Linked DNA regions of Mytilus edulis. The protein of the gene in region 1 purifies or fractionates together with the protein of each later gene. This does not show direct contact. Links are inferred from orthologs where the notes say so. Each region holds a gene or a part of one and is shown on either strand. Other genes may lie near its edges.

Region 1 (7,518 bases):
TAAAGACAAAATTTAAAGTGCAACAAACCCACTTTTCCCACACTTCTAAATAATAAGACTTTTAAAAGTACAAAAATATATATATATATACATGTACAAGGAACTTCATGTCAATTGTATAATGTATCATTGTCTGCAGTTTTGTTTTTTTTTTCATATTCAGGTGAACATGCATACATGTATATGTACATCATGATCTGGATGAATATTGATTGATATAATGCATATGGTGAAAAACACCCCTTTCAGCACTAACGGATATTTTGTGGTGGTCGGTTCATTATTAGTGGAGTAAGCCTGAGAGCCTAGACAGAATCACTGACATTCGACCAAAAAAAAAAGATTCAATTTGATCAAAAATGGAGTCATGCACACCTGCCATGTGTAGGATTCAAACTCACAACATCAGTGTTGACAGGCACTGGCTAGTTAGACAGTAGAAGGGAACACTTACACTACAGTCAAAGCTGTTTAGCCTTAGACTATTTGGCCAATGAAGTCCCTATCTTGAGCAATAGCAGTTTTTCTTACTGCATGCTGAAGCATGAAATTAGTGACAAGGCAGCCGCACTCTTAATTCCACAATCCAAATCCTAAGGCCTGGTACCAGTGATACAACTTATCTATTAGTTGCAGTTACATGTACATGTACATTGTACATATCATGTAGTCTGTGGTTCTAAAGAATATACATTGTAGATGAGATACAGGAGAATTAAATTGCCAGTCTAGATCTTGTGTATGAAATTTGAACTACATTGATATGAAAGTTGATCTTCAATATTTTTTTTTATTTTGTTATTTGTTGTTAGCAGAGCTTATCATGCTTATTACTTTCACAAATTACTAGGATTCTGGATTATCCTCGTACTATGCGTTTTGGTGCCATTACATGTAGGAATGCATTATGACATCACAATTTCTATTGAAAAAGCATCTGTAGTACAAAATCATATATGACCTATATGTACATGCATGAAAATATACGATCTGACCATACATGTACATTTGTAATATAACATTATAATCTGTTTAGCAAATGGCAGGCAATTTTCGTATTTTCTAATTTTATTTTCTGTAAAAGTATTTGAATAAAAATGTACATGATGTAAATGAATATTGTTTGAATCCTTTAAATTGCCATAAAATCATTTTGCATCTGGGGAGGCTTTATATGGTAATTAATTTAAGAAGGTCCTTCTGATTATAATACTACATGTATAACTGGCAGAGTCTGTGTGTCAGTTTTATGGAACCACAATTTAAATAGATAGCGGAAAAGTATTGACTATTTTTTTTTTTTTTTTTTGGCAAATTGGAAATTTAAAAAGCTAGATTCCAATGAACTGATAAAAATTATTTCTGTTATAATGAAAATTTTGTGACCTAATTTAATTTAATTTTCAATCACTGACCTTTCTGATTGGGTCATGTCTAGCAATTAATACTGTTTCTGGACACTTGCGGAATTAATACAAATGTAAAATAGTTTTTTCTGGACATTTCAAAGAGGAAATAAATGCAGAATAAGTCCATGGTCCGACATAGATGATGTCCAGCTTCCATATAACATTATAAAGGGGCATAACTCGAGAACAGTAAAAGTGTTGAATCAACACCAATTACTGCCTCCTCCATGACCTGGCCATAATAATAATAATGCAATTTTGCAGGCAATATTGACAATTAGCTATATAGCTACCCATTTACAGAGAGGAACTAGTTTGTTTACATTTGAAGTCGTGAAATTTATATATAAAAAAAAACACAACAAATAATTTGTAAGTGCATAAGAAACACAATAACATATAAATATATATTCTCTGTAATTTTCTTTTGCCCTTTCTGTTTTATTCCTTTCTTGAGCCTCAGCTCTTTTAATCTGGTTACACCTGAAAAAGTAATCTACTTACCCATTTCTAAATTTGCAAACAAAAACAGAAATTAGTAAAAACATATTCACTGACTGTATAGTAGAACACTAATGACTTTTATGAATAATGCATACATATGTACATGTAGTTTTATAATTTTACTCACTTTATATAGTAAAGTTGTCCGTCTGGAGTTCTTGCCTTTTCCCAACCTTGAGGCAGAGGGGGTTCGTTGTCTAACATTGAGTCACATGAATGTTGCCTTGCATGTTGATGCTGTGGAGGATTTTGTGGAATAGTGGATAATGGCTGCAAACTTGCAGGTGATGAATGCGCCCTGGTATGCACTGGAGGTGCAATTATATTAGGTCCATAACCTGTTGAATCGTTACTACCTTGTTTTGAATGACCCGATTGTTGAGAGTTTGGTGGTGTAAAAAAAGAAGCTGGGAAATTACGCATTTTCATAGGCACTTGTCCAGTTTGGCCCGAGCGGGCCGGGTTCATGGCAGCATTAAATAATTCATCGAGTTCGTTCCCACTGTTGTCCCGGACGTGTATCACCTGATTACCTTTACGCTGCGATAAATCCGACTGTTGGGACATTTTGACGAAATTTATGAAAATCACAACACTAAAAACCGAAAATTATCCTACTCAGCTAAGACAAAAACATTTCTAGAGTAAGCGAAACTAGTTACATATCCTTGAAGATTTCCTGAGAACTTTTCTTCTTGTCGGACACCATTGAAGTTTTACGAAAATTAACCCTATGACTGGTCACAACCAGGTTTAACAGGTTCCCCTCATCCGCGGGACGAAATAGTGCATTATAAACTATGGGTTATTTTAATCAATCTTAAGTTGATGATGAATATTCAATACTTGGTTTGTTGATAATGGTTAAAAAGGGATATTTTTTTAGTTTTTTTCCTTATTGACATTCTAAATCTTAAGTTGTACGACAACACTACCGATGTGAATTGCGTATGTTTTAGCACCTTGTGACGTCATAGGAAATTATGTCAATGGTGACAAACTACATAGTATACTTTGTAAACAATTTTTGACATAGTGATATAAAAGTATTACATGTAAAGATGAAATATAATTTTTTTATTTGTATGTAAATAATTATGACATTAACCCTTTTTCAAATAATAATCGATGCTTAGATTCCCCTTGATAGGCCCATTAATCCTTATAAGGGGCTTGTTTTATTGTGAATATGTCAATCAATCAATGGCCGAGTTTTGATAAGTAGTTCAGTTGAATTTTACTGCGTGGGTGGGGACTTCAAATGGTGAATCATTCTTTAAAATTACTACTTTTACTACTTTTTTACAATAACTTTAACACAGAAAGGCGTTAGACATATATTATTCATAGCTGACAGAAAATCTGAAATATTCTTTTTTTTTTATTCTTATCAGCATCTTTATCCAAATTTGTTATATCTGAGTCATATTCAAGTTTTTTAAAGAAAAACGCAGAACGCTGAAAAAGTAACAACAAGTCGACCCTCTTTCAAAAGATTAAACATTAACACCGAGTAGAAAATTGGAAATAACACTAGAAAATCAAACAAAAGTAATTTAAAACGGCCGGAAAATTGCCAACTATATTTGAGTAAATCAATCCAGGCACACTTGAGTTTGAACGCTGTATGATCCTGTATGTGCAAAATTTACTTAATTTCAAATGGACCAAGTCCAGTAACTTTTAGAACGTCGGAAAACCATGAAATAGAAAAAAAAATCGAAAGGGATCTTCATTTTATCAATCCAAACAATAATATAAAGTTTATGAGAAGCCTTTAATACCCCAACTACTTTTCAGGAAATAAATCTAGGCAATCAATCCAGGCATAGAGTTTGTTTGCTTCAATTCAGATGGTTCAAGTCCCGTATCTTTGGAAAGGCAAATCCTGGAATAAAATAAAATACATCGAAAGGGAGCTTCAAATCTAAGCAATAGTGTAAAGTTTATGAGGAATAAACTCAAGCATACTGCGCAATATGTTAACAATGGCTGTTAAAGTACCGTAACTCTGGGAATCATAGCCATTTTTTTTTTAAATTAATAGGGGGTTTTCTTCCGTCTATCTAGTATCATAGTTATAGCAAATTTGGGTTATTGTGAAATGTAGACGGACGTAACAGACGGACAAATGAGAGTTAATTAATTGGGTAGGGACACACATATTGCCTTTCAACAGGCCACCTAACCCAACAAAGAGTTGCTACGAGGATTCTTAACGTTCATATCTAGCGTATTGCCACTATCTCTACAAGAGGCATCGGATTTAATGTCCCATATTACCGGACGTGCAGTGGGACGTGACTGCGTATATTTATACATTATATACAGCCAAACGAACCCCCAACTTTAGCAAAGGTTTTTACTACCGATTGAAAGAAGACCAAGCTAGTGAACAGTTTGTTGAAAACCAATAACAACTAATAAATAAAATGTATTGTCAGGTTATGGATCATGTTGAGGTTCATTAGTATTTGTTAAAAAAAAAAGTGAAATTATCTAAAGTTAGTTTTTAGTGTCTATTTAAGCTGGAATATAATATACATTACATTCTATCCTATAACCCAGAGTCTAATGTAATACTTGACATTTAATTAATTTTAAAAAGTTTTGACAACTTCATTTTTTAATAAATAAATGTTTGTGAAAAAAATTGTCACGGTAGGCACGTGCCTTAAGTGTCCAGCGGCATTCAGCTGTGTTCCTGGAACTTCACACATATAAATGACTAGCAATATTTTCAGTTCAGTTCAGTTTCATGCATTTGCCTGCCATGATGATAGCACACTACCTTAGGGTATCATGTTGAAGACCAGTTTGAAAAAGAAAATACCCGCTCTGTCTAAAATTTATAATGTCTATGTAAAACTGGAGTTACATTTTAAGTATGCATTGCACACATATAAAACCGTTCATTATTACGAAAAGATACACTGTACTTCGAAGGAAATTAAGTAAATAACTTGAAGATGGTGTTACTAAATTTTAGTGGATACTGCTTTACAATCATAAAATTATTGAATCGAGCATTTGTTTGGAACATCAGTTATTTTTTATATGTTGGTGCATTTTTACAGAGTAGTGAAATCACCCTTATAGCTATCAACAAACCGTAGGGGAAATTACCCACCTTTGACTTGATAAAACAACACAGGAGATCAGGTTTACAAGGTCTTTCAAACTCAATCACTGAATTGCCGGATAGTTCACTTGAATAATCTCACAACCACCAATTCCGGAAACTCTTTAAAAGTGGGCACTTAACCGAAAGTGCTACTTGAAGTACTTTAAGTGTTTACAAACAATAGTTTTATTCATTTTATGTCTCACACGTACCGTTTTGTATTGCTCTTGTTTACAAAGCCTCCTATAGAATAAAATAAATCGTGACAATAGAATTTGTCCGATTTTTCAATTAACTCATTCATCGGGAATTTTCCAGCATAAATGACAAAATACAGACATCAACCAACAGCACAAGCCATCACAGTTATGTGACGGTATGATGAACGTAGACACCCAACAATATCATCCACTCGTTTTATTTGGCCCATTTGTGAATAAATCGAAATAGGATGACGGAAAATCTGAAAAAAAATCATTGTAACTATACTATATATGATGATTTTTCCTAGACACTAACTAGAAAGTTGGTTGGTAGCGAGCAGATCATGTGCATATCTAAACCAAATTGAGACCATTTTGAATCCAGAATACTGGATTGAATATAGGCTTAACGCAATACGTTCCAAACAACATCGCAGATGCGATTAATGTTCTCGAGATTAATGTAGTTGAAGTTGTTACAGTTTTTGTTTTTCATCGTAGTAAAAAGGTAAGCATCTGACGACGCCTGCAAATTCTGCTTTGCTGATGTCGTTGTCATTCAAAACCATACTGAATACAGCCTAAAGTGATTATTTGATTGATTACTAGGCCTCAAGTTAACACCACTGTCAGCACTATTGGCTATTTCGTGGCGGACAGTTTTTATTGACGAAAGAAGCCAGATTGGCAGGAGAGAACCTACGACCTTCAGCAGGAGAGAACATACGACCTTTGGCAGGAAAACTAACAGTCCTAGTAAATTCAGATTGGAATCTGTCACGTGCGGGGTTCGGACTGACAACCTCAGTGTTGACAAGTTAGTTATACAGCCTATATATATATATGAGCATACCTAAAAATGGAACGTTCTCAACTGCTGGGACATAAAATAAACCCCCGACTATTGTAGAATCGTCTGCCATTTTGCAGGTATAGATCGTTCTAATGTCTACCTGGGATAAGATACAGACTGACCCCTGTTACCTCAAGCCATCACGCAACACACATTGTCTTCACACCAAACACGATAGGAAAACCTGCCAATATGATTAATAAACCACATTCCTTTTGAATATTTTGTTTCAGCTGTCTTACACTTATTCCTTATGATATACCTCATATTTCATTCTTCAATATTTTGCCAATTTTTATATCTGTTGCTTGGTGAGTAACATCTTGTGTTTCCCAATCAAATTGACATGCGACTAATGTGTGCTGGTCGTACTACCGTTTTGGTCGCTTGTTGTAACTTGTTGAACTGACCTTGCATCAGGCTCTGTACAATTGTTGGTTGTCCTTTCATGCATGTATTTTGTGTTCGAGTCCTAGTACTGGCACCTAGCACTCGTTGAAGTCTACTTGATAGTTCTTGCTAAAACTAGTTCTATCAATGGTGATCTTGATGGCGTGTTTGTTGAGTCGCAATTGTCTCTGAAACTCGTCGTTGATGTCTCTGATACTTTAAAAATAACGCAATGACAAACCAAGTACTAGTAATACAATATCGTTAGACAAATGAAAGGTTGAATCCCCTGCATTATTAGTCGAGAAGAGTACTAAATATCGGCCATCTTCACTAGAGCTATTTCGAAACTCTGTCTATCTTTCGGATAACGGATTGGATTTAAACGAGTTTCTATTAGTTTTGAGAAATAGTATTAGTCATTGACGTCACTTTTTGCGTTTAGGCTTTGACTTACTCGAGTGTGTATTTTTTTGTGTTAGATTATGTTGGTTTGTGTAATGTATCCGGTTTTTTTCTGTAATTAGTTAATACTTTAGTTATTTCATGTATATCTAATATATAGTAATTTTATAAAATTTACTGTTTGCAAAAGTATAAATTATTCTAAATAATAAGGATGTTTTTATCACAAGCAGAAAATCCTAGCCGTATTGGGGACAACTTTTTAGAACTTTTGGTTCTCAGTGCTGTTTAGCTTTGTACTTGTTTTGGCTTTCAAACTTTTGTATCTGGGTGTCACAAGTTAGTTTTGTCTGGACGAAACGCACTTCTGGCGTATTAAAATTTAAACCTGTTGCCTTTTGTTAGCTATTATTCGTGTGTTTCTTTGTCCAATATGTTCTCCTATTTATTTGCATTGTAGTCCTGTAATGTTATGTTGTCATTTTAATATTATATTTAACATTGCCATTAAAGCGGGAGGTTTGGCATGCCACAAAACCAGGTTCAACCCACCATTTTTTTTCTTTTAAAAAATGTCCTGTACCAAGTCAGGAATATGGCCATTATTATATTATAGTTCGTTTCTGTGTG
Region 2 (7,095 bases), on another chromosome or scaffold:
CACTGTGTTAACTGTTCTCAGCAATTATGTATATTTGTTAACTGTTTTTGCCAAAATCGAGGTGTTAACATGTATTGTCCCCCCTCATTTAGTGTTCCTGGTGAAAGTAAATCCAGTAAAGTGCTTCAATGTTAACTATTAAAAATAGTGTTCTGGTTTTTTTTGCATTCATGTTTAATCTTCCAATTTTAGACTATATTATAACCAATTCACATCAATTTAAAATCACTGCAAATTACCCAAGGCAATTTATAGTAGTCTGATACCATATTGTTTAAAATTAATTGTACTGGAACAAAATGCTAACTTGACCTTTAACTTGTCATTGTGTAAACTATATATTAAACAAATATCAAAACAATATCTTCAAGCATGACAAAAAAGTGAGGAAACTGATATTTTTGTGAATTTTCAAAGTCCAAGGGCTATAACTCTGCACAAAATTATCAGACCGACACAAAAAACAAACTTGCTCTTTATCTCGTCATGATAAAACAATATAAACTAAATACCAAATTGTGGTAAATTGGTATTTATATATGTATGTAACAATTATAAGTTAGTTTATTGCTATAATTTTAATCTTAACTATTTTTTCAGAAGATATTATGTATTATATTTTTGCATGGTTCAACTATGAATGTAAATTTCAGGTTCCCTCTGAGGCTCAGGTGTGACTTTATCAGGTGTTTCAATTGTTTACATTTCTATATGGTCACTTTGTGTGGTGGACACCATTTTCGATTAGTAAATTGTTCTATTATATCCTGTTTTGGAGTTTGTTTTTCACATTTCTAAGGTATTCACCATATGGATGATGCACCATGTTGACATACGAGTCAAGCCTTCCTAAATATCTGTGACATATAGGTTTTGTTATGCTGAATCTATGCGTCATAAAGACAACCTGACCAAACAGAAAATAACTTTACAGCCTTCAGCTGGCCCCTAAACAAAAATGTATACTAGTTCAGTGATAAATTTATTTTTCTGATATCACATGACTGTATACAACCCTTTTTAGCAAAATCCTTATATTTTATGTTTAATCGCAGAAAATATTGTGTACAGTATTTTTTTTGTTTTTTTCAATGTAATTTAAAAGTTTTTTTTTATTCATTTGTAATGAATGTTAGAATAAGTTTTAAAGCAAAAGTGTCTCATCATAAGTCAGTCATGGCTGGATACCGATATTTTAACTTAGATTTAAATTTTTATTTGTATTTTTATACTAATATTATGATGTACGATATTGTTGTATTGGTATGCGACACTATAATAAAATATTCTGTCTGTCTGTCTGATAAGACATCTTCTAAAACTCTGATACTATGGGAACATATGTTCATTTAAACATACTTAACATGTACATGTACACATTAAGAAAATTGTAAATAAACTAAATTTTTGTGTCATGTAAAACCGGTTTTGGGGGGTGAATGTTCACTTAATTTTTCAAAAAATCTGGAGACCTGTGAAATGTCTTAAATGTGTTTATATAATTAAAATTGGTATGAACTAATACTGTTACATGTAATGCAGTACAAGCTACAAATGTAGTGTTTGTTTTTTAGGAAAATGAATTGATTAACGAGTTTCAGTTAATTTCATGAATCTATTATTAAAGTGAACGAATACCAAAACAATACAGAAATTGGACAAAAATGTCATCAAACAATATTTCTGTGACAAATTATATAATTAACATTTAGCTTGTAACAGTATTCGTTCATACGAATTGGAAACGAATTAAGTCATCTCACAGGTCTCCAGATTTTTTGGAAAATCAAGTGTTCACCCCCCAAAACCGGTTTTACACGACAAAAATTTCAAGTTTATTTACAATTTACACAATGTGTATATGTTAAGAATGTTTAAATGAACATGTTTTTATAGTTTAGGATTTTATTCATTTTAGGTTGTTACATGTAAATACAGGCAAGTTTTGATGTTTCTGTAGTGTCCTATATTTTGACCTTAGTGGAACCTTAAAGAGTCAACTTTATAAGATCATAAGAGCAACAATGTATAGTTTCGAATGCAATGACAGAATCTAGTCTCACCATTACCTCTTCGTGTCAATGTCATATCAGAAATTATGATAAACTCAAGGGAGGTTATTTAAGTAGATAAAAACCAGTCACCAATTAAAGTTTCTAGTCCAAATAATCAGGACTTCTGGCAAGGCTATTTTAATTTTTTTCTGGGACGCCTTCCTAAGACCAGAAAAAAATTAAAATAGCCTTGCCAGACGTCATAATTACATTTGTATTTGGACTACAAAGTTTCATGATAACTGCGGATAAAAACATTGTGTGAAAACTGGAAAATTCGGTTTTTTTTCTAAGAATAAAATCACACAACTCCAAAACGTAAAACATGAATAAACAAAAGGAAACTTGCGTCAATACATATACACAATTCTCGAGGGTAACACGAAAGTTTCATGGAAACTGCTGAAATCATTTTTGAGTTATTGTCTCAACACTGGAAAATCCCACCCCCTTTTTTTAATGAATAAACTCGCACAACTTGAAAGTAAAATTTATAAAAATCGAAAGGGAGCTCGCGTCAGTAAATATATACAATTCAGGGATTTCACCAAAAGTGTCAATCGAATTGGTTCTAGCGTTTGAAGTTCAGTTATAATTTGAACAGGTTGACGATGTACGGACAGACGGACAATGGTATTAAATATTAGGCTAATACGTCCCGTAAACCAGATCATAAAACCCGTTCAGTACAGATTCAATTCTGGACCTGTACACAGTCACTATAAAATTACATGTACCATTGCAATTTTTTTTTTTTTGGTTACACGTCAATATGAAAGCAAATGTATTTGGAATAAGAAGCTTACCAACTGTAATTGCGGTTGGATCGAATTTAGGAGGCATGTTTGTTTATTATTCTATCAACTTAGAATTAATTTACGACGGTAATGATGTTGGATGAGTCTGGATATAGACACGACCAAAAAGGTTGCACCACACCGTCTTCAAAATGAAAGTAAAAGAGGAAGTAGAAAGTTTATTTCCCGTGACGAAATAAATGATATGTCCAAATACCTTTATGAGTAATCTTACGTTATAAACAACGACGTTCTTCAACATGTGAACATTTTTTTTATTAAAGTCATATGAAATGAGTGACCGGTGAAAAATAATGTTATTCCTATTCTCGAACCAATGCATACAAACATCATAAACTTAGTCTTCTGTGCACGATTTTATCATTTTTTTCGCATAAATTGCGTATAATCGTCAATTTTTTACAATCGGTCAGTGTTGTCATGGTTGTTGTGAAAATATGGCAGGTATAATTGTGTTTTGAAGCCGAAGTTTAACGATTGTCACCTGTTTGTAAACAATCAACAAAAAAACATGGATATGTCGGGGAATTGCTTCCTTGAAGCAAGCAATTAAAATAACGTTAACTTCTTGTAAATATATGAACAAATTAAGGTGTTTTCTTCAGAAAAAGTATATGTACATAAGTTTGATTTATATTGAAAACTAATGATTGAGTTATAACAAAAACATGTGCATTATTTTTTGAATTTGTGGAAATTTTTATTTCGACAAAAATGATTAATTACTGAGAAAGAAATTTATATTTTTGCTAGAGTTATTATTTTTCTGTTCCTAAGGAATTTATTTATTTAAATGCTATATTCTTTTCGGCATACTGAATTTGTCATAACTTTTTTTTATTGGTTTGTTAGTTGAATTCTACTCACTTTCGTTTACCTGTTAAATTACATACCTTTTTACATCACTCAAAGATTTGCTTTCACACGGTAAACACTTAGTTCTTATTATATATTATTTTTGAAATTTGAGTTGAAGCGTCGATCAACACATTTTGGTAGTTTTGAGAACATTTTTTAACCCGCCCACCCGTGCCCATTTTTACTTTTGGGTATTTCTATATTTTCTCTACTGGTTTAGGGTTAATTCTTATGAGGGGGGGCAAGGGGGGTCCCAATAACAGCAAAACAGCAAATTGATTTGGCTCATAACAGATAACAAGGAATTAAAATGGTCAAAAACAGATAACAGTAAATGAAATATTAAAATTATTCAGTCTTTGACAAATCAGTATTTCTTATTACAGATATAATCCTTTGTAATGCATTCCATTTTTTATGACTATGTTTTTAGTATTAATTTATCTATCTAGAATGTGTTTAAATTACTACTCAATATATTATAATATTTTTTATACGCTCGTTTACGGAACGTATTATGGTATACTGTTGTCCGTCTGTTGTCAACATGTCGGACATTAACTCAAAAAACTCTTTAACCATTTGCATTAAACTTTGGGAAATTGTTTATATCTATTGACGTGAGCTCCCTTTTTTTTTCATAAATTTTAGATTTTAAGTTTCTGGGTAATGGGTTTTTATTCAATAAAGATGTTGGTTTTTTTTTCAATTTTCTGATAATATCTCAAAAATGCTTTCACAAAGCAAGGAATTTTGGTGAATTGTTTATATCTATTAACATGAGATAACTTTCAATTTTTATAAATTTTAGATTTTACGTTTCCGAGTGAACGGGTTTCATTAATTAAAAAGGGGTGACATTAACACAAAAATGTTTTCAGCAGTTCTCATGAAACGTTGGTGTATTGTTTATATATATTGACTGAAGCTCCCTTTGTTGCTAATCAAAAAAGTGACCTAAAAGAGTTTGAATATTCTGACTTTTTCTAAATGACCATTTAATGGGGTGTGTGAATTTTTCTTAATAAAACTATGAGGCAAAGTGGTATATAGGGTAAAAAAATCAAAAGCACCAATTATAAGCATGCAATTTATCAAGTACTTTTTGACACTCTAAAAGCAATTTATTCCACTATTTTCAAAGGCCTTATTTGAACAATTTTTTATCAGCTGAGGTTGTTGATTGTACCAAGTGTACTAGTAAGTAGAATACATAGTTTAGTAGGGAAACAATGGCTTGAAACGAAATAAATCTTTGTTTGTAATGAGTTATGTGCAGCTTCGGACCCAAGTACATGGTTGGAACTTTCATTGTACAATGCATTTGGTTCTGCTTTGAAAAGAATCACAGAGCTGTGTCTATGTACCATATTATATAAAAGGTTAAGTGGTTGTTAGGACCTAGTCCTTAATTGAGATCCTTGTCAGATATTCCTGGCCATATGTTTTCCTTTTTGTCATATTAAGAATTGTTTTAATTTAATATGTTCGTACGGAAAACAAGGAACATTATTCTCATGCAAAAAAAAATAAGATAATTCTAAATACACATTCATAAAAAAAAAATGGAATTTATTGAAAAGGATAATCATAAGATATACTTGAATTGTCCTGGACCTCACTTCTGTGATGGGTATATGTTAATGGAATCCTTCTCTGAATACGGGACAAACATATTAGTAGTGGTAGACCTCAATGGCCAATGATCTTCAATTTATACCGAATATTGACTGTCAAAAAAAATGCTAACATTCCAATTTTCAATAACAGTTAACAGCAAATACATTATCACAATAACAGATAACAAAAAAACTAAAAGCCCAATAACAGCTAACAAAGAATAAGACAATAACAGCTAACAGCAAATATATTTTCAAAATAACAGATAACAGAGAATTAAATTGCCCCATAACAGCATAACAGTTAAACCCCTTGCCCCCCCTCTCTTATGTATTAACAATTTTTGAATATCTATATTGGTCATTCTTAAATTTGTTTATTGAATAGTATTGAACTATTGTGTTGTGTGAATTCATTTCATTAGGCGCCTAATAAATGTTTTTATTGTATTTGTTGTTTCATGTTTTTGAAAGTAATTAGGTTACTTATGACTTTAAAGGGGAATTGTTTAACACTAGGTAATCCTCTATATATATTTACATCTTAATTTAACGTAAAAATTTGAGAGGGAAATTTATTTCCCTCAGTTTGGATTCTTTTGCACCTTTTTGTCAAACCATTTGAACTAAAGAATTGAATTGAATTGAATTGCTTAATAAATCCTGAGAATAAATCAAGTTACTTTGGAGTCAGGTCCCAAATAATGCAGTTTGTCAGACTTCGATTTCTGATACAAATGAAAAACATCAAAGTTTTGATAATAAAAAAATCATTATTACATCTAGAAGCAGTACAGAACAAATATAATATGCTTACTGGAACACAATGAAAAGAATTTGTTCGATTCCTGTCCTGGGCCCTATTGTCTACCTTTACCTTATATCAGTGGCTACAATTGCAAATGTATAAAGTTTTGTCTAATTAAAATGTTATTTTTTTTCTTCTTGGGATTTTGTCAGTATCAAGTGAATTACTTAGTCGACTCCTCTGGAAATGTCCTCGTCGAATATTTCGATCAATAAATACAGTTCTAATCGAAATCTGAACAAAAGAACCAATTATAACAGCCCAATCAGCCAATTTCATCCAATCTATAGATGTCAGCAACTAGAACTGCATCTTTTTTTGCAACTAGAAAATATCTTAGAGATCAAGCTACTAGAGCTATGTATTGTGTTATTAAGAAGTGTAGATCAAACCATCTATCTATAGAATGCCAGCTCGATATGTTTGACAAAGCTGTTTTACCTATATTCTTATATGAGGCCGAAATCTGGGGATACGAAAATCTTGACATTTTAGAAAGAGTACATTTGAGTTTTTGTAAGCATGTTTTACGGTTAAAAAGATCGACTCCGAATTTTATGGTTTACGGGGAATTGGGAAGATATCCGATTTCTTTATACATTAAATTACGGATGATAAAATTTTGGTGCAACCTTCTTGATAACACACTTGATAACAAGATTTCGTCAATGTTATATAAGTTGATATATATTAATTATAATAAGTATGGAATTGAAAACAAATGGTTGTTATTTATCAAAAGTATTTTTGATAATTGTGGTATGTCAAACATTTGGCAAAATCAAGATTGTATCTCAAAAAAATGAATTGTATTAAGTATTGAACAAATTAAAGTTAAAAGATCAGTTTAAACAAGAATGGTTTGCAAATGTAAATCAATCATCAAAAGGTTTATGTTATAAATTATTCAAAACAGAACTTAAATTTGAAAATTATAT

Evidence for each region. The genes of interacting proteins can lie anywhere in the genome.
Region 2: the proteins of transcriptional coactivator YAP1-A-like (region 1) and large ribosomal subunit protein uL11-like purify together in Homo sapiens (affinity purification with mass spectrometry, with the first as the bait; 3 studies listed by BioGRID). This does not show direct contact. The link is inferred for Mytilus edulis from reciprocal best matches to the Homo sapiens genes YAP1 and RPL12.

What each region holds. Positions count from the first base shown.
Region 1 is NC_092346.1:52,558,708-52,566,225, forward strand, and holds the start of transcriptional coactivator YAP1-A-like, read right to left. Parts: upstream 3,003-7,518; 5' UTR 2,481-3,002; coding exon 2,041-2,480; intron 1-2,040. UniProt on the Homo sapiens protein: Transcriptional regulator with dual roles as a coactivator and corepressor. Critical downstream regulatory target in the Hippo signaling pathway, crucial for organ size control and tumor suppression by restricting proliferation and promoting apoptosis.
Region 2 is NC_092350.1:443,101-450,195, forward strand, and holds the start of large ribosomal subunit protein uL11-like, read right to left. Parts: upstream 3,023-7,095; 5' UTR 2,898-3,022; coding exon of another isoform or gene 2,861-2,897; intron 1-2,860.